Anolis sagrei: one gene and its partners. The protein of the gene in region 1 interacts with the protein of each later gene in a biochemical or structural test. Links are inferred from orthologs where the notes say so. Each region holds a gene or a part of one and is shown in the gene's direction. Other genes may lie near its edges.

What was found.
Region 2: the proteins of PCNA (region 1) and POLH form a complex in vitro, tested with the Homo sapiens proteins (7 studies listed by BioGRID). The link is inferred for Anolis sagrei from reciprocal best matches to the Homo sapiens genes PCNA and POLH.
Region 3: the proteins of PCNA (region 1) and POLI form a complex in vitro, tested with the Homo sapiens proteins (4 studies listed by BioGRID, with this or other methods). The link is inferred for Anolis sagrei from reciprocal best matches to the Homo sapiens genes PCNA and POLI.
Region 4: the proteins of PCNA (region 1) and DNMT1 form a complex in vitro, tested with the Homo sapiens proteins (3 studies listed by BioGRID, with this or other methods). The link is inferred for Anolis sagrei from reciprocal best matches to the Homo sapiens genes PCNA and DNMT1.

Annotation. Positions count from the first base shown.
Region 1 is NC_090027.1:20,002,325-20,010,300, reverse strand, and holds the start of PCNA (proliferating cell nuclear antigen), read left to right. Parts: upstream 1-4,958; 5' UTR 4,959-5,042; coding exon 5,043-5,263; intron 5,264-6,601; coding exon 6,602-6,699; intron 6,700-7,976. UniProt on the Homo sapiens protein: Auxiliary protein of DNA polymerase delta and epsilon, is involved in the control of eukaryotic DNA replication by increasing the polymerase's processibility during elongation of the leading strand.
Region 2 is NC_090021.1:49,690,869-49,698,502, reverse strand, and holds the start of POLH (DNA polymerase eta), read left to right. Parts: upstream 1-4,630; 5' UTR 4,631-4,722; coding exon 4,723-4,859; intron 4,860-6,208; coding exon 6,209-6,343; intron 6,344-7,381; coding exon 7,382-7,599; intron 7,600-7,634. Other genes in the region: XPO5 (exportin-5), read right to left, coding at 1,271-1,375. UniProt on the Homo sapiens protein: DNA polymerase specifically involved in the DNA repair by translesion synthesis (TLS). Due to low processivity on both damaged and normal DNA, cooperates with the heterotetrameric (REV3L, REV7, POLD2 and POLD3) POLZ complex for complete bypass of DNA lesions.
Region 3 is NC_090022.1:284,994,449-285,001,491, reverse strand, and holds the start of POLI (DNA polymerase iota), read left to right. Parts: upstream 1-4,025; 5' UTR 4,026-4,033; coding exon 4,034-4,250; intron 4,251-7,043. UniProt on the Homo sapiens protein: Error-prone DNA polymerase specifically involved in DNA repair. Plays an important role in translesion synthesis, where the normal high-fidelity DNA polymerases cannot proceed and DNA synthesis stalls. Favors Hoogsteen base-pairing in the active site.
Region 4 is NC_090022.1:172,052,331-172,060,210, forward strand, and holds the start of DNMT1 (DNA (cytosine-5)-methyltransferase 1), read left to right. Parts: upstream 1-4,867; 5' UTR 4,868-4,958; coding exon 4,959-5,005; intron 5,006-7,880. UniProt on the Homo sapiens protein: Methylates CpG residues. Preferentially methylates hemimethylated DNA. Associates with DNA replication sites in S phase maintaining the methylation pattern in the newly synthesized strand, that is essential for epigenetic inheritance.

The DNA of each region.
Region 1 (7,976 bases):
CTCTTCTGGGCGGCATGGGGTCTGGTCCTGCTCTCTGTGTGATTCTCCCGTGCCATCTGGGTTCCACACAGGAAAGTCCACAGACCTCCCTTGCTCACCTTGCCCAGGTAGTTGTCCTCAGCGGCAGGAGTGGATTATGGGTCCCACAGTTCGACCAGTTGCTCTTCACTGCGCAGAGGGGACCCCTGGACCTCGACGCCCCCTTCATATTTAAGGCAGTTAATGGGATAATTTAGACATACACATACATGCGCTCAGGGAAAGGGGAGGGAGGAAGGGCCAGGAAGAAAAAGAGCATCAGAGGGACTGCGTGTGTGTGAGAGAGAGATTTAACCATAGATGTGGGTGAAATGTCAGGAGGGAATGCTTCTGGAACATCCCTTCCTTAGGTTTTTTTTGGAGAAGGAGGTAAGAGGGAGCAGCAGGATTCCTCTGGGAGATGGAGGAAAGAATTCACAGAACACTGGTTCCTTAGAAGATGGGAGGGGAGGGAAGAGAGAGAGAGAGAGAGGATGGGTTTCAGAGACATTTCACAAGCACATGGAACTCTTTGATGAGGTCCGGTCCTTAGAGAAAAAAGGGAAAAAAGGCAGGGAGAGAGAGAGAGAGAGAGAGAGAGAGAGAGAGAGAGAGAGAAAGAGACCCAGAAAACTTTATTTGGCAAGAGGAAACAGGAACAGAAAAGGTCCCCTCTTACACCTCCCTTTGCAAGAGGAGAAAGGGAGGAGGGGTTTTGGGAGAAAAAAGGGAAGTTGGGGAGTAAAGAGAGAACAAAGGATAAGGCAGGGACATTGGTGACTGCCCCTGAAAAATGGGTTTTGTAGTTGCACAGAAGAGAAGGGGAGAAAAAGAGAGCTCTTGGGTCAGGGAGACCAGGAGAGAGAGAGAGACTTTTGCAAGGCAGCTGAGTCACATCAGTGGCAGGGTCTCTCCTGGCGAGGAGAAACACTGTTTATTATAAATAAACAGGCACTGAAGATTCAGCTTGAGAAAGAAAGGGATTTTGTAGTAGCTTGGTGGAGAAGGGAATGAGCAATGCCTCCTTTTCCCATCTGAAGGAAGGAAAAAAGGTGGCACAGGAGAAAGCAGGAGAGGAGGAGAGCAAAGAATTTCCCTAGCGCATTTCCTCAAGGAACAGGGGGAAAAAAATTAGGGGGGGCATATGAATGCAGACATTTCATAATAGGGAATAGGGAAATGGAGGGGTTGGGAAGGGAAGGAGGGAGTCAGGGAGATTGGGTAAAGGGAAATGGGAATGGGATGGTAGGGGAATAAGCAATTTCTTCCAAAGGGAGAGGGTGAAGGGGTCTGGAGGGGGTTTCCTGGGGGTTGGGGCTCTGTAACCTTCCCCTTGCATGGTCGGAGTTGGTCGCAGCTACCCCCCTTCCGCCTCCCACCGGCACATGGTAAAAAGCATGAGGCAAAGGCGGTTTCGGCCCTCTTGGCCCCCTCACAGCGATCCGACTGCCATGAGGGGCCACGAAACTCCACCTGCTGAGGGCCCGGAGGGCCACCTCTCCATGCGATTTTTACCCTACTGGCCTGCGTCGGCGACGCAACCCTGCCCCATTCCGCCAGTATCTTCCCAAAAGATGTTTCTGATGAAGCAGGACGTTTGATCCCATAATAACATGCGCCCATCTCTCTTGATAGCCCCACACTGAAGTGGCTAATCAGGGTAGCCCCCCCAACCGCTGGCAGGCTAGAGCCTGAACGGTCCCCTAGCAAGAGAGCCCGAGGCGATCAGCCCTTGGCAGCTAGGCAGTCCGAAAGGGAAGGGCTCCCTCTCCAGCGTAGCTCCAGCCAAGGCCGCAAAAGCGAGCTGAGTTGCTATTCTGGGCCTCAAACGTGGATGTTCGCTACCTCCCGCCAGGAATTTGTTACCGAGACCTAGAGAATCCCTCCCCAGTGGGCCGACTCCGAAGCTGGTTCAGAAAGCCTAGAATCCCCTCCCACCTGGCAGCCAAGGCAGCCCGCGGTTGGCTTCTTACCCGTCCGGACGTTTTCTTCCCCCCGTTCCGCGTCGGTCGCTCCTCTTCCTGGAAGTCCTTAGATCAAGGCTTCCCTGGCGCTCCTTTGTGCTGAAACCCTAGGTCAGAGCTTGGGAGGAAGTGGCTGCGGGAGAATTTGTAGTTTTGGTTAGCTGGTCAAATGAAAGTCCGAATTGGGAGAGGCGCCTCTTTTCCCAAGCCGTTCCTCCTTCGCTGCTGGCCCAAAGAATCAGACCAAGGCGCCTGCTTGAGAATTTAGGCTATAATTTAGTCTGGAACCTCAAGCAGCAGTCCCTTCGTGGTAAAGCCAAATGATATCGAGCTCCTTTTTGGAGGGTTCTCCCAGCGAGGGGGAACCCTGGAGACCTCTAATGGGGTCTTGACCTTGGCGAGCTGCCAGCAGAAGCCAATCCAAAGCGCACAATATTAAGAATTAATCTCGCCAGAGGCTGAAGAGGTACCCAGCGACCGAAGCGTTTATTTAGCGATTCAGCTGAAAAGGATGCATTACAGGGATATTTCCTCAAGTAAGCATACAGCACAGTGATTTTCAGGCATTTTTATACAGTCAGAACAAAGAAATCCTGGTTTGAATCCCCCGCCCGCCTCCTGTCAGTTCCCTCTGTCCTGATTGGCCGGCTCCAGAACAGCTGGGAGGAGGCTTGGCCGCTGGTCCCGCCTCCCCTCCAATCGCCGGCCGCTGTTGCTTCCGGGGGGCCAATCAGAGCCCTTGGAGCGCCTCTGGAGATTGTCCAATCAGCGGCCAGGAGGCGGGACGTATCTTGACAGCGCAGAGGGGCGGATCGCCTGGAGGCGTCCGCCAGCTGATGGAACACCTTTTGTTCTTCGCACGGCAGGGAGGCGGAAGGGGAGACAAGGGATTTCCTGGGCCCCGATAAAAGATGTGTATAGGGAAAAGAGGGTGGCGGTGGGTGGTGTCTGGATCTTCAACCTTGCGGGCAAAGAGATCCTTTGTCACAAGGGAGCATGCACAAACACCACAATTGGTGTAATCAGTCTGTTTTTCCGGGCTTTTGGCTGACAAAATCTCTGGCTTTTGTTTGTCTGAACTCTGAAAAACAAAGCCATAGATTTGCCAGTATTTTCCATGCAATGTCAATATGAATGGAGTTCCTTCCAAGGAAATTGGATTTCCTTAACTGTAATCCCCTGGTCACATATTCCTTTATAGGGTAAAGTTCAAGAGGGGAAAGGCAAGGAAAGGGGTGAGGGTGCACCTCATTCCTTTACATTCCGTATTACACACACTTCATACATATATTCTTTACAGTCTTTCATAACTCATAGATTTCATAAAAAGGGTCCCCATCCCCTCCCATCCCAGCAAAGTTTATTAGAAAACCCACAGCAATTTAATAAAGGCAATCAGCAGAGTTCCTGAGGTATGATCCTTTGCAACAAGGGCATGCACCCACAGGCGGGGGCCATTCTTCAGAAGCGGCTTGGCTTTTGGAGTTCAGGAGGAAGCCCGTGATGCCAGGGCACCAAGTCAATGAGAAAGGGCAGAAAAAGGTCCACAAAGAGTCCGCAAATGGTGGAGAGTGGGGCAATGTCCTTTGGGGAACTGCATTTCCCTGATCAGGGGCCAGGGTCCAGTGCACAAGCCAGAGAATTCACAGAGAGGAAGCAGGAACCCAGTTATGTGTGCTGGGTCAGGAAGCAGCAGAATCCATAGTCCGGCCCTTGGTGAACTACAAATACTTGGGGGGGAAAGATGCTCTGCATCACCCGCATGAGAAGCTGGAGCTGATAGAGGGAGCTCATCCGCCTCTCCCCGGATTCAAACCTGCGACCTGTCGGTCTTCAGTCCTGCCAGCACAGGGGTTTAACCCACTGTACCACTGGGGGCTCCATGTTTTTCTATAAAAATGTACTAATTGCATGTATGTCTCTCCTGACGAACGATTGCGGTTTGACATCTGTACCAGCTGGATGAAATAAATACAACTCGGTGGCTTTTCTTCAGCTTTGGTGAGATTTATTTGGGAAAATTCAGGGAAAAATTCTTTGGCTCTTTTCGCTCGCCAGAGTACTTCTCGCCTTCTTTGGAGGCTCCTGGGTGGGAGCCTCCAAATTCTAGTTCGATATCAACACTTTCTCGTTACTTTATTTTCCAGATCACCAGACTGGGCCACAGCAATGCGTGGCAGGGGATAGCTAGTAAATAAATAAGTAAAACTAAAGAAAACCACGGACTACAAAGCCCATCATCCTCCAGCAGGCCCCGCCACCTGTGAAGGCTTAGTTCTCGCTAAAAAGTAACTTTTCCAAACTCTGGACTGCATTATATAAGTGTACTATGAGTCTACACTCATCATATAACGCGGGTACAATGGAGCATAGATTTGGGCCCAGCCTCTCCCTGAAGAAACAAGCCCAGGCAAGACTGGGTTGCACTAGTCAAGCTTCCGGGTTGAGAACCTCCCCGTGAATGTGATTGGACAATTCCGAGAGAACCCAAGAATCTAAGTGGTTGCGCTATCTATGACGTCAGGCGGGAATACTCAGCGAAAGGCTCCTTCGCAGGAAGAAAAATATTCCCTGCTGCGCATGCGTCGTTCCACTGTGGCGCCTTTTAGCTAAAGAGGGGGATGCACATGCGCAGTCGGTCCCGGCTGCGCGCGGGAAGGGCTGAAGACACGCCTATTGATTAGTGCGAGAAGAGTGAGAGGGGCGGAGGGTCTCTGGAATGGGGACACGCCCACCTCTTTCAGTGCTGTGGATTGGTCCCCACAAGGAGTGGGCGGGGCCTTTGCTTTAAAGGGGGGAATGGGTGGAGACACGCTCACTGCGCTCCTTGATTGGCTCACAGCGAGTGGGCGGGACGGAGGGAATAACTTATCCATCGCTGTTGATTGGCCTCCATGAGGAGGGGGCGGGGCTTTCATGAGGAGGGGGCGGAGCCTTCACGAGGAGGGGGCGGGGCAGTATAAAAGGGCCCTTCGTGCGCGCAGCAGCCCTCAGAAGCGCTCGTGACCCCGAAGGGAGAACATCGCGGCCTAGCTGTGTGGTGTCTTTGAGGCCGGCAGGATGTTCGAGGCGCGGCTGGTGCAGGGCTCGCTGCTGAAGAAGGTGCTGGAGGCGCTGAAGGACCTGATCACCGAGGCGTGCTGGGACCTGGGCTCCGGCGGCATCAGCCTCCAGAGCATGGACTCCTCCCACGTCTCCCTCGTCCAGCTCACCATGCGCTCCGAGGGCTTCGACACCTACCGCTGCGACCGCAACATCGCCATGGGAGTCAACCTGGGCAGGTCGGTACCTAAGCCAAAGAAGGAAAGAAGGGCCAGAAGCGCCATGTTTGCCTTTTCCCGCCGCGATGACGTCACGCGCGCCATTTCGCCGCCCTTTTGGCGGGAAGCGCTGAGAGGGAACGAGGGGGCGTGGCTTCTCTCTAGTGACCCCTGAGAGCGGATTGGCTCCTTTGGAAGCCGTCATCACCCCTGCTTCCACCCGATTGGTGGACTCCTTTTTGTATGGGCGTGTCTAAGGGAATTGGCGCGTTTTTCAAGGGAGAGGAAGCCCTTTTCATGTCAATCCACCAAATATAAAAAATGATTTATTATTATGATGCTTATGCTTATATATTGTCCGCTTTTTCTCTCCACAAAAGAGACTCAAAGCAGCTGTGTATCCTAGGTTCTTGTAGGTTTTTCGGGCTATAGGGCCATGTTCTAGAGGCATTCTCTCCTGACGTTTCGCCTGCATCTATGGCAGGCATCCTCAGTGGTAGTGAGGTCTGTTGGAATTAGGACAATGGGTTTATATATCTGTGGAATGACTGGGGTGGGGCAAAGAGCTTTTCTCTGCTGGAGCTAGGTGTGAATGTTTCAACTGACCACCTTCATTAGCATTTGAAGGCCTGGCTGAGCCTGGGAAAATGTTCTGTTGGGAGGTGTTAAGATGTGCCTGGTTGTTTCCTTTCTGCTGTTTTGCTGTAGTAATTTTAGAGTTTTTTAAGGAGACTCAAAATGGCTTGAATAAAACAATAAAGCCTACAGAGAACATAGGTACTAATCAGGCCCACAAACTTTAAAGCAGGGGTCCTCAAACATTTTAAACAGAGGGCCAGGTCACAGTCCATCAAACTGTTGGAGGGCCGGATTACAATTTGAAAAAAAAAATGAATTCCTATGCACACTGCACATATCTTATTTGTAGTGCAAAAAAAACCAAAAACAAAACACCTCTTTAAACAATATAATAATTAAAATGAAGAACAATTTTAACAAATATAAACTTATTAATATTTCAATGGGAAGTGTGGGCCTGCTTTTGGCTGATGAGATAGGATTGCTGTTGTCAGCTTTCAAGTTGATCCAGACTTAGGTTGACCCTGAGCGAGGGCCGGGTAAATGACTTTGGAGGGCCGCATCCGGCCCCCGGGCCTTAGTTTGAGGACCCCTGCTTTAAAGCCTCCAAGGTAAAAAGTTGACTCTTAATAGCGATATTTTGTACTTGTTATATTTCTATATGTTATTTGTTTTGTATCCTTACATCTATTATATTATGTTAAACATTGATGTTATTAAGAATGAACCTGCCAATGTTACGGGAAGGAGAGTCAACCTTGTCTCTTCTCTCATTCCTAGCATGTCCAAAGTTCTCAAGTGTGCGGGGAATGATGACATCATCACCCTGCGAGCAGAAGACAATGCGGACACACTTGTTTTGGTCTTTGAGACGCCAAGTAAGTATCCAGGCGCTTGTTGGTGGGAGCCCCACTGATGAGAGCGCCTTTCTTTTCATACAGTTGGGAGGGGCCCCTAAAAGCCATCTAGCCCAGCCCCCTTCTGCCTTCCTCCTAGAAAGGCACCATCAAAGCTCCCCCAACAGATGGCCATCCAGTCTCTGCTTAATAATAATAGAATCCTAGGATTCGGAGGGACCCCCAAAGGCTATTCTGTCCACTCTCTTGCCTTCATGCAAGAAAAGCACAGCCAAAGCACTCCCCGGCAGATGGCCATCCAGTCTCTGCTCAATAATAATAATAGGATCCTAGAGTTGGCCATCCTACAGATGGCCATCCAGTCCTACCCTCCTTTATTCTGCTATCACATAGGAAAACTACAATCGGCCCACCTGACATGGCTATCTAACCTCAATAATAATAATGGGTGGAGACCTTAAGAGTCTAGTCCTACCCCCTTCTGCCTTCGTGCTGGAAAAGCCCTCCTGAATAGACTGCATGGGTCAACTCCCTTCTGCGAGGCAGGAAAAGCACAACCAAAGCCCTCCCAATACAAGGCCATCCCACTTTAATAATAATAATGATAATAGAGATGGAAGAGGTCTTAAGGGCCATTCTGTCCAGTCCTCTTCTTCCTTCATGCAGGAAAAGCACCATCAAAACACCCTCAGATGGCGTTCCAGCCTTCTAGACTTTCCTATCGTCTGGAAGAGGCCTCCAAGAGCCACCCAGTTCTGCCTTCATGCAGGAAAATTGCAATCAGAGCTCTCCTATCAGATGGCCATCCAGTCTCTGCTTAATAATAATAGACTCCTAGAGTTGGTGGTGGTGGTGTGGGGGAGCCCAAAGGCCATCCAGTCCAGCACCCTTCTACCTTCATGCAGAAGAAGCATAATCAAAGTACCCCTGACAGATGGTTATCCGGTCTCTGGACTCGTATCTTTTCTATTTCTTCTATCTATCTATATAAAATGTTTGTGGGTACACATGTATGTACATATGTGCACACAGCCCCCCCCCCCCAAGACCCACTTTACATCCTGGAGAAGTTTGGGTAGAGTGGACCACAGGTGATGAGATTTGCAGCCCCTTCATCCACTTTCAGAGACTACTGCAAACCCCATCAGCCTTGGATATGGACCAAACTTGGCACACAGATCCCCCTTTATTTTAAATACCGGGTTTGGGGAGAAATGGCAGCATGATGAGGCTTTACAGGCCACCTATATCCTTATGGATCCATTATTATTATTATTATTATTATTATTATTTGCTTC
Region 2 (7,634 bases), on another chromosome or scaffold:
ATACAGTTTATTGTGCACTTTCGGACAACGGAGCTGGCCATGAGTTTTTGGCAGGAATGTTGAATTTGTGGTGAACACCCTCAAGTTTATAGACAGCCTGGATGTGGGCGGGAAACAATATTGAAGAGTTTAATAATATTTTGGGGCAGATAGCTGATTGCTATCCCGTTAATGGTTTTCCCAAACCGTTTCCCAAACTGTTGTTTACCATTTCTCATTAAAGAACTGATACATTCATTCACTGTTATCTGTGTCCCTCCCCTACGTTAAATTACTTCAGTGGTATTGTCCCACGCAATCTGCGTACTCGAAGCAGCGTTCCAGAAACAGCGTAACGCTCGTGGCACAGGGACTCAGTTATCATACTATCACCAGAAACTTCCTCCTGCACATGCAGAAGACTGGACGACTTCGAAGGCACAGAACAGGATGTACTCTGGCACCACGAGATGCTGGGGATAGAAAGTGGAGTCCTCGACATGCGAGTGTGGAGAAGAATAAAACCACAGGCCACTTACTACCACTTACTACCATGCAGCCTGAGCCCTGCCACATGCACAGTGGAGTACCTTCTCACAGCAACACCAGAGGCACTCCAAGTGGCCAGATACTGGCCAAAGGAAATTTAGTATAATTCCAAGTTTTAATCTTTGTGGCTTTAAATACATTATACCTGCATTCTCAATTTGCTTCTCACACAACAAATATATATAAATATGCTACTTCAAAGCATTATTTCTAAAAATCACAAATAATAATAATAATAATAATAATACTTTATTTATACCCCGCCACCATCTCCCCAAGGGACTCGGAGCAGCTTACATGAGGCCAAGCCCAACAACACATCAATAAAACAAAAAGCAATAAACAAAAACAAAAAATACAATACAATTAATATAAATCATATATAAACATTGACCAGACTTGTATCCAAGTCTGGAGACAAAATAGAAGCCATAATAAAAGTGGAAGCTGGTAAAAGAAACTGCTGACGAATTTCGGTGCCAAACTGCATTCATCCCACAGTGCAGACGGGCCCCGGGTCCCTTCAAAGCAAGAGGGGCGCCTTCTCCCTTGCAGAAGCCCTCAAACAAGCTTGCAGCAAACTCAACCAGGCGGACACGTGAAGGTGGCGTGGGGACGGACGGGGCGACCCGACACTTGGAGGCCTGCGGGGCGGGCTCGAACTCGCGCCGGGGATACGGGAACTATTTGGGCCTGGAGGCAGCTGCGAGGAGATCTGCTGCATCTCGATGGCCTTCCCTACCTTGAGGGCCTCCAGGCGGTACCGCTGCGTGGAGGCCGGGTCCATCATCACCGTGACCGCCTTCACCAGCTGCTCGCAGAGGGTGTTCACGGGGTCCCAAGACATGGCGGCGAGGAGAGGGGCTCTATCCGGGGGGAGGCAAGAAGAAGGAGAAAGTAGGCCCCGTTGCCCCGGGCAACCAGGCACAGGGGGGGAGAACCCGAGAGCCACACCGCGCCGGGTACACAAGCCCAAAGGCAGCACTGCGCAGGCGCCAGCAGCCAAACTGTCTCCACTGAGCCTGCGCAAAGCACCGTCCACAACTTGGACGGCTCTGAGTTAGAAACGTAGAATTAGCCCAGTAGAATGCCTCACTCCGTTGATGACACGGAGCTTCCGGGTCCTGTCTACATTATTTTGGACTGGAGGCGGCCTTTGGAATGCGGTCAGAAATTTGGAGCAAAGAGCTGCAGTTACAAGTTGCGACCACCAGAGAGAGGTCGTGGCAATAGCTCCACGGGGTTTCAAGGCCAAAGTCAAAGCGTGGATACCACTATTCCACTATACAACTACATCTAATAATAATACAATATAATAATTATATATTTTACTAGCGGTCCCCTGCCACGCGTTGCTGTGGCCCAGTCTGTTGATCTGGAAAATAAAGTAACGAGAAAGTGTTGGTTTATAATATATGTAATGTCGTTCTGCTTGTGGGTAAACAGTATTTCTTCCTGTTTCTTTGTCAGTGTTGATGTGGAGATTGTCTGGTTTGCCAACTCTGGAATATGCAACATATCATTGTCCTTCTTTAGGGGTCCCTTTCAAATCTATGATACTGCATCTGTCATATACATATGTGTGTGTGTGTGGGAATGGCTGGATGGCCCTTTGTCAGGAGAGCTATGATTATGTTTTCTTGCCCTGGTGAAGGGAGTTGGAATGGATGGCCTTAAGGCAGCATTTCTCAACCTGGGAAATCAAGACCCCGGAGGGGGGTCACCAAGGGGGTGTCATAAAGGTCACCAAAGACCACCAGAAAACAGTATTTTCTGTTGGTCATGAGGATTCTGTGTGGGAAGTTTGCCCCAATTCTGTCGTTGGTGGGGTTCAGAATGCTCCTTGATTGTAGGGGAACTATAAATCCCAGTAACTACAACTCCCAAATGTCAAGGTCTATTTCCCCCAAACTCTATCTGTGTTTATATTTGGGCGTCTTCAGTATTCGTGCCAAGTTTGGTCCAGATCCATCATTGTTTGAGTCCACAGTGCTCTCAAGATGTAGGTGACCTCCAACTCCAAAACCCAAGGCCAATGCCCACCAACCCTTCTAGTGTTTTCTGTTGGTCAGGGGAGTCCTGTGTGCCAAGTTTGGTTCAATTCCATCGTTGGTGGAGTTCAGAATGCTCTTTGATTATAGGTGAACTATAAATCCCAGCAACTACAACTCCCAAATGACAAAATTATAATTTTTGAGTGATGGTCACTCCTTGTGTTGTGAGACATTTTGTTGCCAAATTTGGTGTGATTTCGTTCATTGGTTCTTTTATTTTTAAGGTACTCATTATGCACAGAGCATTTATATATATATAGATATTACATATAATATTACTAATAATATTATTATAGTACAGTGGTATAATACAATATAGTAATATATAATACTAATATTGTGCTGTGCTAATAATATCATATATGAACCTATGAACCATCATGGAGATTAAGATCCTCCAGGGAGGCCCTGCTTTCCGTCCCGCCATTGTCACAGGCACGATTGGTGGGGACGAGAGACAGGGTCTTTTCGGTGATTGCTCCCCGGCTATGGAACTCCCTTCACGCTTGCCTCTCGGTACCTATATCAGATAGGCACAAAATGATCCTTTAATATTCCCATTGCATATTCTCTTACAATTGGATTATTAAGCATTGTATTGTATTGTATGTGAATTTGTGTCCTAGCATTGAATATTTGCTGTGTATATGTCGTGCTCTGCCCTGAGTCCCCTTTGGCGTGAGAAGGGCGGAATATAAATGTTTTTAATAAATAATAAATAAATATTTTATACTCATATAATATTGATAGTATAATGTAATACAATATAATACTATTAATAATACAATTTAATAATTTTATATTCCATATTACATGTAATGTTACTAATATTACAGTATAGTGGTATAGTGTAATATAGTAATATATAATACTAATATTGTGTGATGCTAATAATATATTGTATGTACATATATTAATCCCTAAACAGCTCCGGCCCTATTTATCTGTCCGAATGGCTTCTCCCCTATGAACCATCAAGGTTGTTAAGATCTTCTGGAGGGGCCCTGCTCTCGGTCCCACCTCCTTCGCAATCATGTTTGGTGGGAACGAGGGACAGGGCCTTTTCGGTGGTGGCCCCTCGGCTCTGGAACTCCCTCCCGATGGAGATTAAATCTGCCTTTTCCCTCCTGACTTTTAGAAAGCTGGTAAAAACATGGCTTTGGGATAATGCATTTGCAGAATGATGACTGAGTCAATAACTGCTGACCTTTCTGGTGGATGGCGATGAATTTGTGATTCACTGTGACGAACTAACTTTTTTGTAACTTGTACGAATTGTATGAATTGTATTTTAATGTATTTTATATTGATGATGTATACTGTTTTTTCTTATTGTATTGAATCTTATGTTGTTAGCCGGCCTGAGTCCCTCCTCGGAGGTTGAGAAGACCGGGTTATAAAAACTCTAAATAAATAAATAAAATAACTTGTAAGCCACCCTGAGTCCCCTTCGGGTGAAAAGGGCGGCATAGAAATGTTGTAAATAAATAAATAATAAATAAACCTACACTGTGGAATTAATAGAGTTTGATATGACTTGAACTCCGACATCTTCCACACAGCTGTATAAAATCCACATTGAATTGGATTATATTGCAGTGTGGACTCAGATAATCCAGTCCAAACCAATATTGTGGATTATCTGCCGTGATATTTTGGGCTATATGGCTGTGTGCAAAGACCTTCCCATGGTCCAATCCTTTGGAATCCAGATCTCTCTTGGGAAACTATAGCTCCCACGAGTCTAAAGCATTAAGCCCCGGGAGTTAAAGACTGCATTGCTTCTTCGTTGTAGAATCAGCAAGAATCGCTTGTCTTCTTCCCACTTTCCTATGTTTATGTTGTATGTAGACAGTTTGGCGAAGAATATCTGCGTCACGAAAGAAACCAATATGACGTCATCACAGTTCCTCGACTACAGCGTGGTGGAACCCTGACATGTCCCTTCAAGACTCCATTTCCCAGCAGGCATTGCAGCGACGCCTTGATCCGTTTCTCTCCTTGCGTTCCAAGAGCGTGCGGAGCCACGCTGCAACCTGCGCGTTGCGTCACTTCCTTTTCTTCCCTCCCTTCCGCCTCTGAGGAGAAAGAAGGCGGGAATTCCACTCACTGAAGGAACTTTCTGAATCTTTTCCTGAGGATGTCTCGCGGGCGGGAGCGGGTGGTGGCGCTGGCCGACATGGATTGCTTCTACATCCAAGTGGAGCAGCGCCTGCAGCCCAGTCTGCGCGGGAAGCCCTGCGTCGTGGCCCAGTACAAGACCTGGAAGGGCGGCGGGTACGTGCCTCGGCTCCCTTGGGCAATGGGAGCAGGCATGGGCCGACTTGGGCCCTCCCTCCAGGTGTTTTGGACTTCAACTCCCACAATTCCTAACAGCCTACCGGCTGTTAGGAATTGTGGAAGTTGAAGTCCAAAACACCTGGAGGGAGGGCCCAAGTCGGCCCATGCCTAATTTAAAGCTCCTAGGTAGGAGCTGTTTGGCAGTGGAATATGCTGCCTCTGAGTTTGGTGGAGTGTCCTCTGGAGGTTTATAAGCAGAGATTGAATGGCCATCTGTCAAGACTGCTTTGAACGTATTTTCATCAAAAACTCATAAGAATCCATAGCAGATACACCCTTAGTCTCTGGAGCAGTGGAAACCAATCTCCAATAGGGTATCCTTTTCACATATTTAAACACGACTATCATAGAATCCAAGGGCAAGATGGATGGATGGCATCCTTGAAGTGACTGGACTGACCTTGAAGGAGCTGGGGGTGGTGACGGCCGACAGGGAGCTCTGGTGTGGGCTGGTCCATGAGGTCACGAAGCGTCGGAGACGACTGAACGAATGAACAACAACATCATAGAATCCTAGAGTTGGAAGAGACTTCATGGGCCATCCAGTCCAACCCCCTGCCAAGAAGCAGGAAAATTACATCCGAAGCACCCCTGACAGATGGCCATCCAGCCTCAGTTTAAAAGCTCCCAAAACAAGAGCCTCCACCACACTTCACGGCAGGGAGTTCCACAGTTGGACAACTCTCACAGGAAGTTATTCCTCATGTTAAGGTAGTTTCTTGTAGTTTGAAGCCATTGTTCCACGTCCTAGTTTGCTCCCTTCTCCCTATGACTTCCCTTATATATTTATACATGGCCGTCATGTCTCCTCTCAGCCTTCTCTTCTTCAGGCTAAACATACCCAGCTCTTTAAGCCACTCCTCATAGGGCTTGTTCTCCAGACCCCTGATCATTTTAGTCGTCGTCCTCTGAACACATTCCAGCTTGTCAACATTTCTTGTCAACGTACTGCTCTCAAGCCACGCGTCCCCCATTCTGTATCATTGCATTTCATTTTTTCTTCCTAAGTGGAGTATCTTGTATCTTGTTGAGCTTCATTTTGTTAGTTTTGGCCCATCTCTCTAATCTGTTAAGATCGTTTTGAATTCTGCTCCTGTATTCTGGAGTAACCTTCATTTATCCAGGCTTCACTTCCCCCAGAAGCTCCTCATGGGGCATTTGTTTGACAGTACTCAGCCCTTAGGCTGACAGTCTAATACTGATACACAAGGAAAGGGGGTGGCAGTGTGGGAGGGCATAAAACCCAGTAGTTGCTGCATCCCCTTTTCTTTCTGTGTCAAATTCAGAATAATTGCTGTGAGCTATGAAGCACGTGCTTTTGGAGTTACCAGGAACATGTGGGCTGTTGATGCCAAGAAGCTGTGCCCAGATCTCCTGGTGGCTCGAGTGCCAGAGGCCCATGGTAAAGCAGACCTCACCAGGTAAGTCTAGTTGTTATAGCTTCTCTTGGATGGTATTAACTTAGGTAGCAGCCTGTAATGAAAGGACCAAGGCAATGACATCTCTGGCCCATTCTCTGTTCGGATATCAGCCAGCATGCCAAGCCTTAAATCAAGAAATAGCTTCCTAAGATTTATAGAGGTACTTGCAGTAACACCTCAGCAAGCAAGAGTACAAAAGTCACAGGTAAAAACCCAGAACCTCAATCAGTGGCTGACCAAATGAGAAACTTCCTCCTGTGCAGACAGAAGATTGGGCGACTTGGAAGACACTGAACAGACTTGCGCTCTGGCACCATGAGATGCAAAGCCAGTCTTAAGAAATGGGGCTACTAAGTGGAGTGCATTGCCATGCGAGCGTGGAGAAGAGCAAACACAGGCCACTTACTACAATTCAGTCAGTCTGAGCCTGCTACATGCACAGTGGAGGACCTTCTTAAAGTGACACCTGAGTCACTGGAAGTGCCCAGCTTCTGGTCAAAGGAAATTTAGTATAATGCTAAGTTTTTAACTTTGTGGGTTTTTTTATACATTATAACTATATTCTCAGTTCATTTCTGACACGATAAATATAAATAAATCTGATGTGGATTGTGAAATAATCTGGAGTAAAAACTAGTTTGAGAAGGAAGTTGATCAATGCTGCTCTTTCGTGCTCTGAGTATGAGGTGGTTTTTACGAAGCATGTTTAGCTGTTATTCATAACTAGGATATAATGCATGTTGTCTGGCTTTAACTGAGCAATATCCTAGGATTCAAAAATTTATCTCCCAGTGTGTTCTTTTAAATAGTGTATTGGACTTATTCTAGTTTATTCAATCCTTATTCATTATCTTAGTATACTTGGCAGTTGATGAGGGGAAAGTGCTGTCGTTTTGGAGAGTATTGAAGCTCTAACACACACACACACACACACATATATATCTCATTTTCTAGTGGTTGACTGCTTAATAATAATCCAATTGTAAGAGAATGTGCAACAGGAATATTAAAGGATCATTTTGTGCCTATCTGATATAGGTACCGAGAGGCAAGCGTGGAAGTGATGGAAGTCATGTCTCGCTTTGCTGTGATTGAGCGAGCCAGCATTGATGAGGCCTATATGGACTTAACTAGTGCTGTACATGAAAGGCTTCAAAAGATGAAGGGACAATCTATTGAAGCAGAACAATTGGCCACTACCTATGTTGAAGGATTCCCAGACAACTTTGCATTAGAAGAGACTGCAGATAATAAAGGTATTCCATAGCTTCAGACGTGGTATTCCATTGCT
Region 3 (7,043 bases), on another chromosome or scaffold:
AATCTCCCTTGTTACGGTCCTAAAGCAAGGATAGACGACGTGTACTTGCAATGCAGATATAGTTGGACTGCAATTCCCATTATCCTTCATTATCTACTCTTGTTTGCTAATGGAGACAACTCCAACAACATTGGTGAGCTACATGTGACTTAACTACTGGTACAATGTGATAGAGGTTGCATCCCTTAAACTGGAATGTAGCAGTTGGAGGAGATGCCCAAACATTTGCTAACAAGTTTCAACATGCACACCAGGCAGCAAAATCTTGTTGAATTAATTAAAAATATGACTCAGGAAACATACAACACATCATGCTTTATTTTAAACATGGGAGTTTATTATTTCAGTTTATGATTTCAGCTCATCCAGCTACATCCATAGATAATCTTCTTTACATTTATTTTCCAAAAGACCAATGTATTTTTGGACTAATTGCTCTAGACTCTCAGTTAACCAGAAAACAATCAACCAGAACTCTCAAGCAACAGGCAAAAACATCAAAGAATTTTTTTTGTCATGTCAGGAGCGACTTGAGAAACTGCAAGTCGCTTCTGGTGTTAGAGAATTGGCCGTCTGCAAGGACGTTGCCCAGGAGACGCCTGGATGATTTGATGTTTTTATCATCCTTGTGGGAGGCTTCTCTCATGTCCCCACATGAGGAGCTGGAGCTGATAGAGGGAGCTCTTCTGCCTCTTCCCAGATTCGAACCTGCGACCTGTCGGTCTTCAGTCCTGCCGGCACAGGGATTTAACCCACTGCGCCATCGGGGGCTCCTATCAAAGAAATAACAACATTTAATAAAAATGCCATTTTTATAATATAGTAAAACAGTATATTAATCTTTATCTCTATTTTTCTTAATTTGCTTTTAAATACTGTATTTCAGTATCAATATCAAGTCAATACAGAGTTTATAATATGGTATGGTACATCTATTTTTAATAGTAACTCACAAGGAACTAGAAACTACATCTATCTAGCACAGTGTTTCTCAACCTGGGGGTCGGGACCCCTGGGTGGGGGTCACGAGGGGGGTGTCAGCGGGGGTGCCAAAGACCATCGGAAAACACAGTATTTTCTGTTGGTCATGGGGGTTCTGTGTGGGAAGTCTGGCCCAATTTTATCGTTGGTGAGGTTCAGAATGCTCTTTGATTTTAGGTGAACTATAAATCCCAGCAACTACAACTCCCAAATGTCTATCTTCCCCCAAATGCACCAGTGTTCACATTTCGACATACTGAGTATTCATGCCAGGTTTAGTCCAGATACATCATTGTTTGAGTCCACAGTGCTCTCTGGATGTAGGTGAACTACAACTCCAAAATTCAAGTTCAATGTCCACCAAACACTTCCAGTATTTTCTGTCGGTCATGGGAGCTCTGTGTGCCAAGTTTTGTTCAATTCCATCGTTGATGGAGTTTAGAACACTCTTTGATTGTAGGTGAACTATAAATCCCAGCAACTACAACTCCCAAATATCTAGGTCTATTTTCCCCCAAATGCACCAGTGTTCACATTTCGCCATACTGAGTATTCATGCCAGGTTTGGTCCAGATCCATCATTGTTTGAGTCACAGTGCTCTCTGGATGTAGGTGAACTACAACTCCAAAATTCAAGTTCAATGCCTACCAAACACTTCCAGTATTTTCTGTCGGTCATGGGAGCTCTGTGTGCCAAGTTTTGTTCAATTCCATCGTTGATGGAGTTTAGAACACTCTTTGATTGTAGGTGAACTACAAATCCCAGCAACTGCAACTCCCAAATGACAAAATCAATCTTCCCCCAAACTCCACCAGTATTCAAATTTGGGCGTATTGGGTATTTTTGCCAAATTTAGTCCAGTGAATGAAAATACATCCTGAATACTAGATATTTACATTACGATTCATAACAGTAGCAAAATTAGAGTTATGAAGTACCAATTAATTTTATGGTTGGGGGTCAACACAACATGAAGAACTGTATTAAGAGGTTGTGGCATTCAGAAGGTTGAGACCCACTGATCTAGCATCTCCCAATCCCCATGGGTGACGGCTGACTAAGAGTCTACTGTATGTATTTCAACTGTCTTCTTCAAGTGCCACATACAATCAAATAGCAGAAATTCCATTTACTAGACCAGAAAAGAAATGGCTAAGATCTCTTAAGTCCCAAGGAACACAGAAAATGAGACACAGCCCAGATCCCGGCCATAGAAGGCTTTAAAGGTCATCGCCAGAGTTTCAATTGTTTGGAGACGCAATGGCAACCAGCCCAGTTGTTGCAACAATGAGGTTCTGTGCTCCAGCGGTGACATAGGCAGGCATGAATTACGTGTGAAATGTAATTTATGTCTGCGCAATGTGCATGTCGCTAACAGGATGTTAGGCCTATGAGTACAAATGCCAGATACTCTGACGGAGGGGAAACATTCCATCCATTTCGCACTAAAAATTCTCTTCCGAAAAGATTTCCTGTCTCTCCAGATTATTTCTGTTTTTATACTAATGGGAGCATTTTTATTGTAGAATTAACACATTTCAACTGTTATGGCTCTCAATGCTATACGAGGGTTGAATGAAAAGTAATGCCTCCACCATGCTTTGGTTACATCCCGTTTAGATTACTGCAACGCTCTCTACGTGGGGTTGCCTTTGAAGACTGCCCGGAAGCTTCAACTAGTCCAACGCTGCTAACAAGAGCGGGGTACGGGGAGCATACTACTCCTCTGTTGCGCCAGCTCCACTGGCTGCCAGTTAGCTTCTGGGCACAATTCAAAGTGCTGGTGTTAACCTATAAAGCCCTAAACGACTCCGGCCCAGTTTACCTGTCCGAACGTATCCTCCCCTATGAACCATCAAGATTGCTAAGATCGTCTGGAGGGGCCCTGCTCTCGGTTCCACCGGCCTCACAAGCACGTCTGGTGGGGACGAGGGACAGGGCCTTCTCGGTGGTGGCCCCTCGACTCTGGAACCCCCTTTCACTGGAGATCAGAACGGCCCCCTCTATCTTGACGTTCAGAAAACAGGTGAAAACTTGGCTCTGGAAACTGGCATTCGAAGAATGAGTCAAGTTCTGTGATATGGGTGGATGATTTTATGATGACGACTGACCATTGTCATTATATGTTTGTATTTTGTTTTTAATGTCTTAGTGTAATCTAGAATACGATGTTTTTAATGATTGTTTGTAATATTGATGTTGGAAACCAGCCTGAGTCCCTCGATGGAGGTGAGAAGACTGGTATACAAAACTGCTAAATAAATAAATAAATAAATAATACATTTCTGAGTGATACGAGGATCGTCCTGAATCAATCTGTCAACCTTTTGCTTGTGAAACTTGGTGGTTTCTGTCACAGGACGTCTAACTCTTTGTTTGTCATGCAAGTCAGATGTTCCCACCTCAACATCTTTAAACTTACTCGCCCAACGATGCACAGTACTCACATCAACATAATCACCATACACAGCTTGCATTCTCCAATGAATTTCTTTTGGAGTGACACCTTCTGCTGTCAAGAATTCAATGACTGCACGTTGCTTAAGTCTGCGCAGGGTTCCATAGTTCACCTTTAACAACACAACTGTTCAATGCTAAGGCTTCCCACTAAAATGGAACTGTAGAGGAGAGTTTACTGAGCAAGCCAGTACCTGCCGCATACCAGTACTGCCATCTGTTGAGGAGCTATGAAGGTGGAGGCATTACTTTTCATTCAACCCTCGCAGATCAGGCATGGGGGCCAACTTGGGCCCTCCAGGTGTTTTGGACTTCAACTCCCACCATTCCTAACAGCCTACCGGCTGTTAGGAATGGTGGGAGTTGAAGTCCAAAACACCTGGAGGGACCAAGTTGGGTCATGCCTGGATATAAAGCCATGGGAGTTGTAGTTTTACAAGGTCTTTAGCCTCCTATGCCAAAGAGGGCTGGTGCCTCACCAAACTACAACTCCCAGGACTCCATCGCATGGATCCAGGGCGTTTTAAGTGATGTCAGAGTGCACCTAAAGAAAGGGCACATTCTCATTCACACGAGACGCCCGTGACACGCGTCATGGCCTGGGCGGAGAAGGGCCTGCCTGAACGGTCTTCACTTGGTCCGTCGCTCCTCCTTCCAGGGAAGCTGACCTCGCCATTGGCCAAGACCAGGGCAGGCGAAGAGAGGCGGTGTTTGGTGCCCGAAATGGAGGACGAGGAAGAGGAGGAGGAAGAAGCGGCATGGTTGCGCCCAGACTCTCCCTCCGGTGCTGCGAGGAATCCTCCCCCTGCCTGTAAAGACCCTCGACTCCTTTTAGCAGCCTGGGAGGAGGATTTGGGAGTGAAAGGCTCGTGGGAACCGAGGCAGGAAGGCACGGAAAGAGCGCACAGGAGGCGCCTGCGTTTGTTTGGCTGACTGGCAACAAGCTTCCCTTTGTGTTGCAACTAGCTTCCCTTTACACCTGGAACAGGCCTGCGCAAACTTTGGCCTTCCCTCCAGGTGCTTTGGACTTCAACACCCACAATTTAGGAATTGTGGGAGTTGAAGTCCAAAACATCTGGAGGGAAGACCAAAGTTTGCCCAGGCCTGGTGTAGAATCAAGCCAGTTTGATGCCACTTGAACTGCCAGGGCTTATGCCAGTGATTCTCAACCTTCCTAAAGCTGTCACCCCCTCAATACAGTTTCTCATGTTGTGTTGACCCCCAATCAAAAAATTATTTTCATTGCTACTTCATTGCTGTAATTTTGCTACTGTTATGAATTGTAATGTAAATATCAGATACTCAGGATGTATTTTCATTCACTAGACCAAATTTGGCACAAATTTCCAACATGCCCAAATTTGAATACTGGTGGGGTTGAGAGGGGATTGATTTTGTCATTTGGGAGTTGTAGTTGGCAGGATTTATAGTTCACCTACAATCAAAGAGCATTCTGAACTCCACCAACTATAGAATTGAACCTAACTTGGCACACAGAACTCCCATGACCAACAGAAAATACTGGAAGGGTTTGGGGGGGAGTGACCTTGAGTTTTGGAGTTGTAGTTTACTTACATCCAGAGAGCACCGTTGACTCAGTCATGGATCTGGACCAAACTTGGCATGGATACTTAATATACCCAAATGTGAACACTGGTGGAGTCTGAGGGGAAAATAGGCCTTGACATTTGGGAGTTGTGGTTGCTGCGATTTATAGTTCACCTACAATCAAAGAGCATTCTGAACCGCACAAATGATAGAATTGGGCCAAATTTCTCACACAGAAACCCCATGACCAACAGAAAATACTGTGTTTTTTGGTGGCCTTTGGTGACCCCTCTGACACCCCCTCACGACCCCCCCAGGGGTACCGACCCCCAGGTTGAGAAACACTGGCTTATGCTATGGGAGTCTGTGATGTGTACGGCCAGGGATCTACTTTTGCTGGGGTTTGGGGCAGTTTTTCACATTCACCTAGGTCTTATGCCCCACACCCTAGCAAATGTGAACCTGCAGAGCACAGTCCAGAGTGACTCCCAGGTGTTTGCATGTGCAGCAATGCTCCGAGCTCAAGATGCTTGCCTGTTCTTAAAATGAAAAGCACACATCTGGATTTTAGATGGATTAGGAATCGGCTGTTTTTCCTGTAATAGGCAGTAAGAGCACCTAAAGCTTTGGAGAACTTCTGTTCAACCATTTCAAAGCTCCCTGCTTGAGTGGTGATGGCATGATCGTCACATGTTGGCCCATGCCTGATGTAGAATCAATCCAGTTTGATGCCACTTCAACTACCATGGCTCATGCTTTGGAAGTCTGTGATGTGTACTGTCAGGGATCTACTTGTGCTGGGTTTGGGACACAGGTTTTCACATTCACCTGGGTCTTATGACTTGCACCTAGCAAATGTGAACCTGCATCTTCAAAAGGGACTGTATCCCCATCCAGTGCTGGCTTGAGATGCTTGTCTGTTCTTAAGATAAAAAGCACACATTTGCATTTTAGATGGATTAGGAATCAGTTGTTTTTCCTGTAATAGGCAGTAAGAGCACCTAAAGCTTCTGAGAGCTTCTGTTCAACCATTTCAAAGCTCCCTGCTTGAGTGGTGATGGCATGATCGTCACATGTTGGCCCATGCCTGGTGTAGAATCAATCCAGTTTGTTGCCACTTCAGCTACAATGGCATATGCTATGGAAATCTGTGATACGTATGGTCATATCTACTTTTGCTGGAGTTTGGGGCACACATTTTCACATTCACCTGGGTCTTATGCCCTGCACCCTAGCAAATGTGAACCTTCATGTTCAGAAGGGACTGTAACCACATCCAACATTGGCTGAATTCGTATTCTCATCAGTCTGCCTTTTGACTGACCACGACTGCCTTGATCTTACCTGGATTAAGTTTCAATTTCTTCATCCTCATCCAGTCTATTACTGATGACAGGTACTGGCTTGGATCCAAGTCAAAAGCAAGACAAATTGTGTTAGACTAAATCAGTCCTACCATATTATTTATTTATCATGTCAGAAGCAAGTTGAGGATACAATTAAAATGCATCTAAAAAGACAAACAAGGTTAAAAAAAACTTGGCATTACACTAAATGTCCTTTGACCAGAAGCCGGCCACTTGGAGTACCTCTGGTATTGCCATGAGAAGGTCGTCCATTGTAGGTAGTCTGTGGTTTGCTCTTTTCCAAACTTGTATGTTGTGGACTCCATTTTGTAGCCCCATTTCTTAAGGTTATCTCTGCATCTCGTGGTATTAGAGAGCTATCTGTTCAGCACCTTCCAGGTCATCTTCTCTTCTATGTGCCCAGGAGGGAGTCTCTCATTTGGTATCAGCCACTGATTGAGGTTCCGGGTTTTAGTCTGCCACTTTTGCACTCTCGCTTGCTGAGGTGTTCCTGTGAGTATCTTTCTCGATCTCAGGAGGCTGTTTTTTTATTTAAACCAATAGCATGCTGGGCCGGAAATGTCAATGCCTTGGTCCTTTCATTACTAGCTGATACTTTCCGACAGATGTCCAGTGGTGCAATACCGGCTAAACTAGTGGTTCCCAACCTTTGGTTGTGATTTGGATTTCAACTCCCAGAAATCCCAGCC
Region 4 (7,880 bases), on another chromosome or scaffold:
GGCCTCTCCAGATGATCGAAGGGAACGTGTGGGTTCATATATTGTATTATGTTTTCTGGATATCCTCGGTTTCTGAACTGGTGTTTCGTTACTTTGATCTCATCATCGAAGTCTTGTTGAGTCAAGGAGTTATGTTGAATCCTGAGCATCTGTGTATAGGGTAAATTGTTTTTAAGGCCCAATGGTGGTAACTGTTGTAATGTAACAAAGAGTTTCTATCAGTGGTTTTGTGGTGGTTTTTCACTCTCAATCTGTCATTTTCTTTTTTGACCAGAACATCTTGGAAAATCAGGGATGTGGAGCTAATGTTCCCTGTAAATTTGATATTGGAATGAATGGTATTAATCCAAGATAATAAAGTTACTGCCTCCTGGTGTGAATTTACAATCATAAAAATGTCATCAATAAATCTACAATATTTGATTATGCTGTTTGCTACAGGGTTACGTGTGTGATTCAGTATTATGTCCTTTTCCAAATTGTCCATAAATAAATTTGCTATAGACGGCGCAACTGGGCTGCCCATGGCTACTCCTTGTACATGGAAATAATATTCTTGGTCAAATTTTAAATATTTTTTTCAAGCATCATGTCAAGAAGATCCAACAAAAAGAAAGTGGGTGGGTGACAATTAGGTCTCCTGTTTAAAGTTTATTCACATATGAATCGCGCCTCCTCTATTGGAATACTGGTGTACAATGATGTTACATCTACGGACATTAAAACTGCATCTGTTGGAATCACCAAGGGTTCAATGATATTGATAAAATGTTTAATATGCTATAATTGTGTGGAGTGTGTTATTTAAGTTGCTTTTATAATTTTTACTGATTTTATCATTTTTTTGAGCCCCCGGTGGCGCAGTGGGTTAAAGCATCTAGCTTCTGAGCCTATTGAACGAAAGGGCACAGGTTCGAATCCAGGGAGCGGTGTGAGCTTCCATTGTCAACCCCAGCTTCTGCCAACCTAGCAGTTCAAAAACATGCAAATGTGAGTAGATCAATAGGTACCACTCCAGCGGGAAGGTAACAGCGCTCCATGCAGTCATGCCAGCCACATGACCTTGGGGGTGTCTACAGACAATGCCAGCTCTTAGGCTTAGAAATGGAGATGAGCACCACACCCCAGTCGGACATGATTGGACTTCATGTCAGGGGAAAACCTTTATCTTACCTTTACACTGCCATACAATCCACTTCAAAGGAGACAGAATCATAGAATCACCTATAATTTTTACTGATTTTATAATATTTAATGGTTTGTTTATATGTACCTTTGGCATTGAATGTAACTGTGTTTTATTTTCTTATAAGCTGTCTTGAGTCCCTTCGGAGAGACAGGGCAGGCTATAAATACATAAATATTATTATTACTACAACAATCTTCTATGGAGCCTGTAAAGTTCTACCCAGGAAGAATGATCTCCCATGGGATGTTCCTTCTTGCTTCCTTCTCACCATTGCTACTTAGTGACCTATGGAGCCCAGGGGATGATGCAGGAGCATCCAGCTGTGTTCTGATAGCTGGACACAACACATAGTGACAAAGAATCTTGAAGAATATCTCAAGAGTCTTCTGGAGGTCCCCGGGCATGACACCATCATCACTGTGCATCTGGGTAGAGGGTATAGACAGGTAATCCTCTGCCATTTATGCTTTTCAACAGTCGCCAATGGCCATGTTAGGAAATGCAAGAGAGAGATGGGTTTTGAGGAGGTTAGGAGGTCATTTGGTCTGTAAGGAGTACATTTTGATCTATAATAACTATAGATGGGAAATTGGATATAGAATGATACTTATAGTGTTGGATATCATCCCCCCCCCCCCCCCCGGGTACCATCCCCACTACATCCTTTTAGACTGCCTTCGAATGATCTTGTGGGTTGAGTTGGGTTATGTGGTTTTTAGCCTAGATTTTAAAATTTGTGGGTTATGTGGTTTTTAGCCTAGATTTTTAAATTTGTTGAAGTTTGAAGCATATAACCCCTTGGGTTTGACGTGGATGTGCGGGACTGGGTCCCCCCGTTATGATCTGGTCACCAACCGTAATAAAGTTTACTTACAGATTACAGAAGAGACATAACACATATACACACATAGATGGACATGCACTTACACATATATGCACATAGTATGTATATAAAAGCACATACAGATACATATCTACACACTAACATATATGCACACAGTATATAAACACACTTATGCCTACATATTACGTATGTATGTATGTATATATATACATACACATATCTACACACTATAAAAACACATAGACATTTGATATATACAGTATATATACATACATACATATACATACACTCTATATATATATATATAGATACAGTCATTACACACACACACATCTCTTCTTAGGCGATCCCTCGTAGTCCGAGGATGATATATAAACATCCCAACCTCAGATATGCAGATGACACCACTCTGATGGCCGAAAGCGAAGAGGAGCTGAGGAACCTTCTAATCAAGGTGAAAGAAGAAAGCGCAAAAGCTGGGTTGCAGCTAAACATCAAAAAAACCAAGATTATGGCAACAAGAATGATTGACAACTGGAAAATAGAGGGAGAAAATGTGGAGGCCGTGACAGACTTTGTATTTCTAGGTGCAAAGATTACTGCAGATGCAGACTGCGGCCAGGAAATCAGAAGACGCTTACTTCTTGGGAGGAGAGCAATGTCCAGTCTTGATAAAATAGTAAAGAGTAGAGACATCACACTGGCAACAAAGATCCGCCTAGTCAAAGCCATGGTATTCCCTGTAGTAACCTACGGATGTGAGAGCTGGACCTTAGGGAAGGCTGAGCAAAGGAAGATAGATGCTTTTGAACTGTGGTGTTGGAGGAAAGTTCTGAGAGTGCCTTGGACTGCGAGAAGATCCAACCAGTCCATCCTCCAGGAAATAAAGCCCGGCTGCTCACTGGAAGGAAGGATACTAGAGACAAAGTTGAAGTACTTTGGCCACATCATGAGGAGACAGCAAAGCCTAGAGAAGACAATTATGCTGGGGAAAGTGGAAGGAAAAAGGAAGAGGGGCCGACCAAGGGCAAGATGGATGGACGGCATCCTTGAAGTGACTGGACTGACCTTGAAGGAGCTGGGGGTGGTGACGGCTGACAGGGAGCTCTGGCGTGGGCTGGTCCATGAGGTCACAAAGAGTCGGAGATGACTGAACGAATGAACAACAATAAATATGTGAGAGGAAGCCACAGGGGGGAGGGAGCAAGCTTGTTTTCTGCTTCCCTGGAGACTAGGACATGAAACAATGGCTTCAAACTACAAGAGAGGAGATTCCATCTGAACATGAGGAAGAACTTCCTGACTGTGAGAGCCGTTCAGCAGTGGAACTCTCTGCCCCAGAGTGTGGTGGAGGCTCCTTCTTTGGAAGCTTTTAAACAAAGGCTGGCCATCTGTCAGGGGTGATTTGAATACAATATTCCTGCTTCTTGGCAGGGGGTTGGACTGGATGGCCCATGAGGTATCTTCCAACTCTTTGATTCTATGATGGTCCTCCAAGTTTGGTGTACTGGTGGTGGGTCCGTAGGTGACTGTGGAACCCTATTCTTGACCTGCATCTTCTCCCCCAGTGAGGGCATCAGTTTCCAGGTGGAAGGCGGTCCCAGTCGGGGTTGGCTTGGCACATCTTCCTCTTGGCACGTTTCTCTCTTTCACCCTCCATTTGTGCCTCTTCAAATTCTGCAGCACTGCTGGTCACAGCTGAGCTCCAAGTGAAGCACTCAAGGTCCAGGGCTTCCCAGTTCTCAGTGTCTATGCCAGAGTTTTTAAGGTTGGCTTTGAGCCCATCTTTAAATCTCTTTTCCTGTCCTCCAACATTCCGTTTTCCGTTCTTGAGTTCGGAGTAGAGCAACTGCTTTGGGAGACGGTGGTCGGGCATCCGGACAACGTGGCTGGTCCAGCGGAGTTGATGGCAGAGGACCATCGCTTCAATGCTGGTGGTCTTTGCTTCTTCCAGCACGCTGACATTTGTCCGCTTGTCTTCCCAAGAGATTTGCAGGATTTTCCGGAGGCAGCGCTGATGGAATCGTTCCAGGAGTTGCATGTGACGTCTGTAGACTGTCCACGTTTCGCAGGCATATAGCAGGGTTGGGAGGACAATAACTTTATAGACAAGCACCTTGGTCTCCCTACGGATGTCCCGGTCCTCAAACACTCTCTGCTTCATTCTGGAAAATGCTGCACTTGCAGAGCTCAGGCGGTGTTGTATTTCGGTGTCGATGTTGACTTTGGTGGAAAGGTGACTGCCAAGGTAGCGGAAATGGTCAACATTTTCTAATGTTACACTATTAAGTTGTATCTCTGGCATTGGAGAGGGGATGGCTGGTGACTGGTCCCCCTCTATATATACAGTCATTACATATATACACACGCGCACTTCTCTCACTGCCATGCACAGAGCTACAGAGTTATGGTCTGCATTTTGTAAATGATCAAAGCGACCTCTGACTTTTCTATAAGGACCTCATCACACTAGAGAATGAATCCACTTTAATCCCGGTTGCTGCCTCCTGCAGAATTCTGGGGTTTGTAGTTTAGGGAGGAGCCTAGAACAGCATCCCTAAACTACAAACCCCAGAATCCTGCAGGAGGCAGAAACCAGATTGAAAGTGGATTCATTCTCTCTAGTGTGTGATGAAGTATGAAAGCCCTAAGAAATGTATGGAGTCACCAAACCTCGATAAAGGCACATCAATACAAACAAGCACCCCCTCCGTTGTCTACTTGGTCTCCCCCACTCCATGCATTGAGAAGGCCCGAAGTAGAGACCTCCTCTTGCCTCCCCCCCCCCGGGCCTAATGCCGGATGGTTCATTCCAGCTCCGGCCCCGCCCCTCCCTCCTCCCCCTCCTCCCCGGTGCGCGCGAAACCGCTCTCGGCCGCCCTCCGGCTCCCTGCCCGCCGCCTTCCTTCCTTCCTTCCTGCCGAGATGCCCGCCCGGGCCGCCCCGCTGACCCCCGAGGAGCTGCGCAGGCGGTGAGTGAGGCCCCTGCTCCCCACGACCCCAATTCAAGCTTTGGGGGGGGGGGGCAAGCACCCTCAGTGAGGGGGAGAGTACTGGTCTTTCGAGCCCCCCCCTCCATTTTGTATATGGTTTCTCCCTCCTCAGCCCCCCCTCCTTTTTAGACATGGTTTCGCCCTTCTTCTTCGTCTCTCTCCTTCAGAGGGAAGTGAAGGGAGAGTGTGAGGAGAAAGAAGGGGGTCTCTTAAAGGGAAAGGTGGCCTTCTGAGGCCTTCCTGGACACCTTCCCCTCATTTAACATAATTACACCATAATTACTCCTCCCCTATCAAATTCTGTGTGTTCTTGAAGGATTGGAAGGCCTGCTTTGCTGATAGGGGAGCATCTGAATAAAATGAGCACCTTCCAGCTGAATCAAATCCCACATTATCACCTTTGAACTGGATTATATGGCAGTGTGGACTCAGATAACCCAGTTCAAAGCAGATATTGTGGGATGGCCAGCCTTGATGTTGTCTCTGTGGAAGGGCCCTCCATTGCTTGGCCAGTCCTGGGCCTGTTAACTGCCTCCACTTTTTTTTTTCAGTATTGGAATGGATGCTCATCAATATGTTGTTGTTATTATTGCTAATTTCTGTTTCTTTCTGCCTCTGCGTTCTTTTCTTTTGGCTGCCCTGCCACGCAGCACAAGTTGGGTGTTTGGCTGTCAATCATCTCCAAAAGCGAGAAAATAACTTAAGGTGTCAAGTTTTGTTCGTCTCAGGTTTCTTCTCTTTAGAATCAAAGAGTTGGAAGAGACCTCATGGGCCATCCAGTCCAACCCCCTGCCAAGAAGCAGGAATATTGCATTCAAATCACCCCTGACAAATGGCCATCCAGCCTCTGTTTAAAAACCTCCAAAGAAGGAGCCTCCACCGTGCTCCAGGGCAGAGAGTTCCACTGCTGAACGGCTCTCACAGTCAGGAAGTTCTTCCTCATGTTCAGATGGAATCTCCTCTCTTGTAGTTTGAAGCCATTCTTCCGCGTCCTAGTCTCCAAGGAAGCAGAAAACAAGCTTGCTTCCTCCTCCCTATGACTTCCTCTCACATATTTATACATGGCTATCATATCTCCTCTCAGCCTTCTCTTCTTCAGGCTAAACATGCCCAGCTCCTTAAGCCGCTCCTCATAGGGCTTGTTCTCCAGACCCATGATCCTTTTAGTCGCCCTCCTCTGGACACATTCCAGCTTGTCAATATCTCTCTTGAATTGTGGTGCCCAGAATTGGACACAATATTCCAGATGTGGTCTAACCAAGGCGGAATAGAGGGGTAGCATTACTTCCCTGGATCTAGACACTATGCTCCTATTGATGCAGGCCAAAATCCCATTTGTCTTTTTTGCCGCCACATCACATTGTTGGCTCATGTTTAACTTGTTGTCCACGAGGACTCCGAGATCTTTTTCACACGTACTGCTCTCGAGCCAGGCATTGTCCCCCATTTTGTATCTTTGCATTTCGTTTTTCCTGTCAAACTAGGCCTCCCCCAACGTTTTTAATAGCAATAGAAGCAGAGAAGCAAGGGGATTCAATAATAATAATAATCTTTAATGTTGTGTCTCTTATTGTCTATATGTTTTTAATTGCTTGTATTGTTGTTATTATTGCTTGTATTGTTGTGTTTGGGCTCGGCCTCATGTAAGCCGCACCGAGTCCCTTGGGGAGATGGTAGCGGGGTACAAATAAAGTATTATTATTATTTATGCCTCCATCTCCCAAATGGGGACTCGGGGCGGCTTACATGATGCCAAGCCCAGCAACACAATGCAATAACTAAAATCAAAACATACACAATAACTTGATAAATTACATAAAACATAAAGATTTCCTACTTTTTGTTGTCTCCAGGAGGCAGGAAGAGGAGGCTAGCTGCTCTTTGTAGTTTACATCCATTCCAGTTTTGTGTTTGGGGACTCTGGGCCCTTCCACACAGCCATATAACCCAGAATATCAAGGCAGAAAAATCCCACAGTATCTGCTTTGAACTGTTATCTGAACCTTCACTGCCTTATATTCCAGTTCAAAGCAGAAAATGTGGGATTTTAGTCAGCTGTGTAGAATAATAATAATAGTAATAATAATAATAATAATAATAATATTTTTGTCGTGTCAGGAGCGACTTAAGAAACTTCAAGTCGCTTCTGGTGTGAGAGAATTGGCCGTCTGCAAGGACGATGCCCAGGGGGCACCCGGATGAATTGATGTTTTAATAATAATAATAATAATAATCTTTATTTAGACCCTGCCACCATCTCCCCAAAGGGGACGCGGGGACCTAAGGCTGTATAAAATCCCACACTATCTGCTTTGAACCGGGTTATATGGCAGGGTGGACTCAGGCCCTTCCATACAGCCATATAACTCAGAATAATAAGGCAGAAAAATCCGACAATATTTGCTTTGAACTGGGTTATCTGAGTCCACACTGCCATATATTCCAGTTCAAAACAGAAAATTTGGGATTTTATTCAGCTATGTGGAATAATAATAATAATAATAATAATAAACCTTTATTTGTACCCCGCTACCATCTCCCGAAGGACTCGGTGCGGCTTACAATAATAATAATAATCTTTATTTATACCCTGCCACCATCTCCCCAAAGGGGACTCAGGGACCTAAGGCTGTATAAAATCCCACACTATCTGCTTTGAGCCGGGTTATATGGCAGTGTGGACTCAGGCCCTTCCATACAGAATAACAAGGCAGAAAAATCCGACAATATCCGCTTTGAACTGGGTTATCTGAGTCCACTCTGCCATATATTCCAGCTCAAAGCAGAAAATGTGGGATTTTATTCAGCTGTGTGGAATTATTATTATTATTATTATTATTATTATTATTATTAT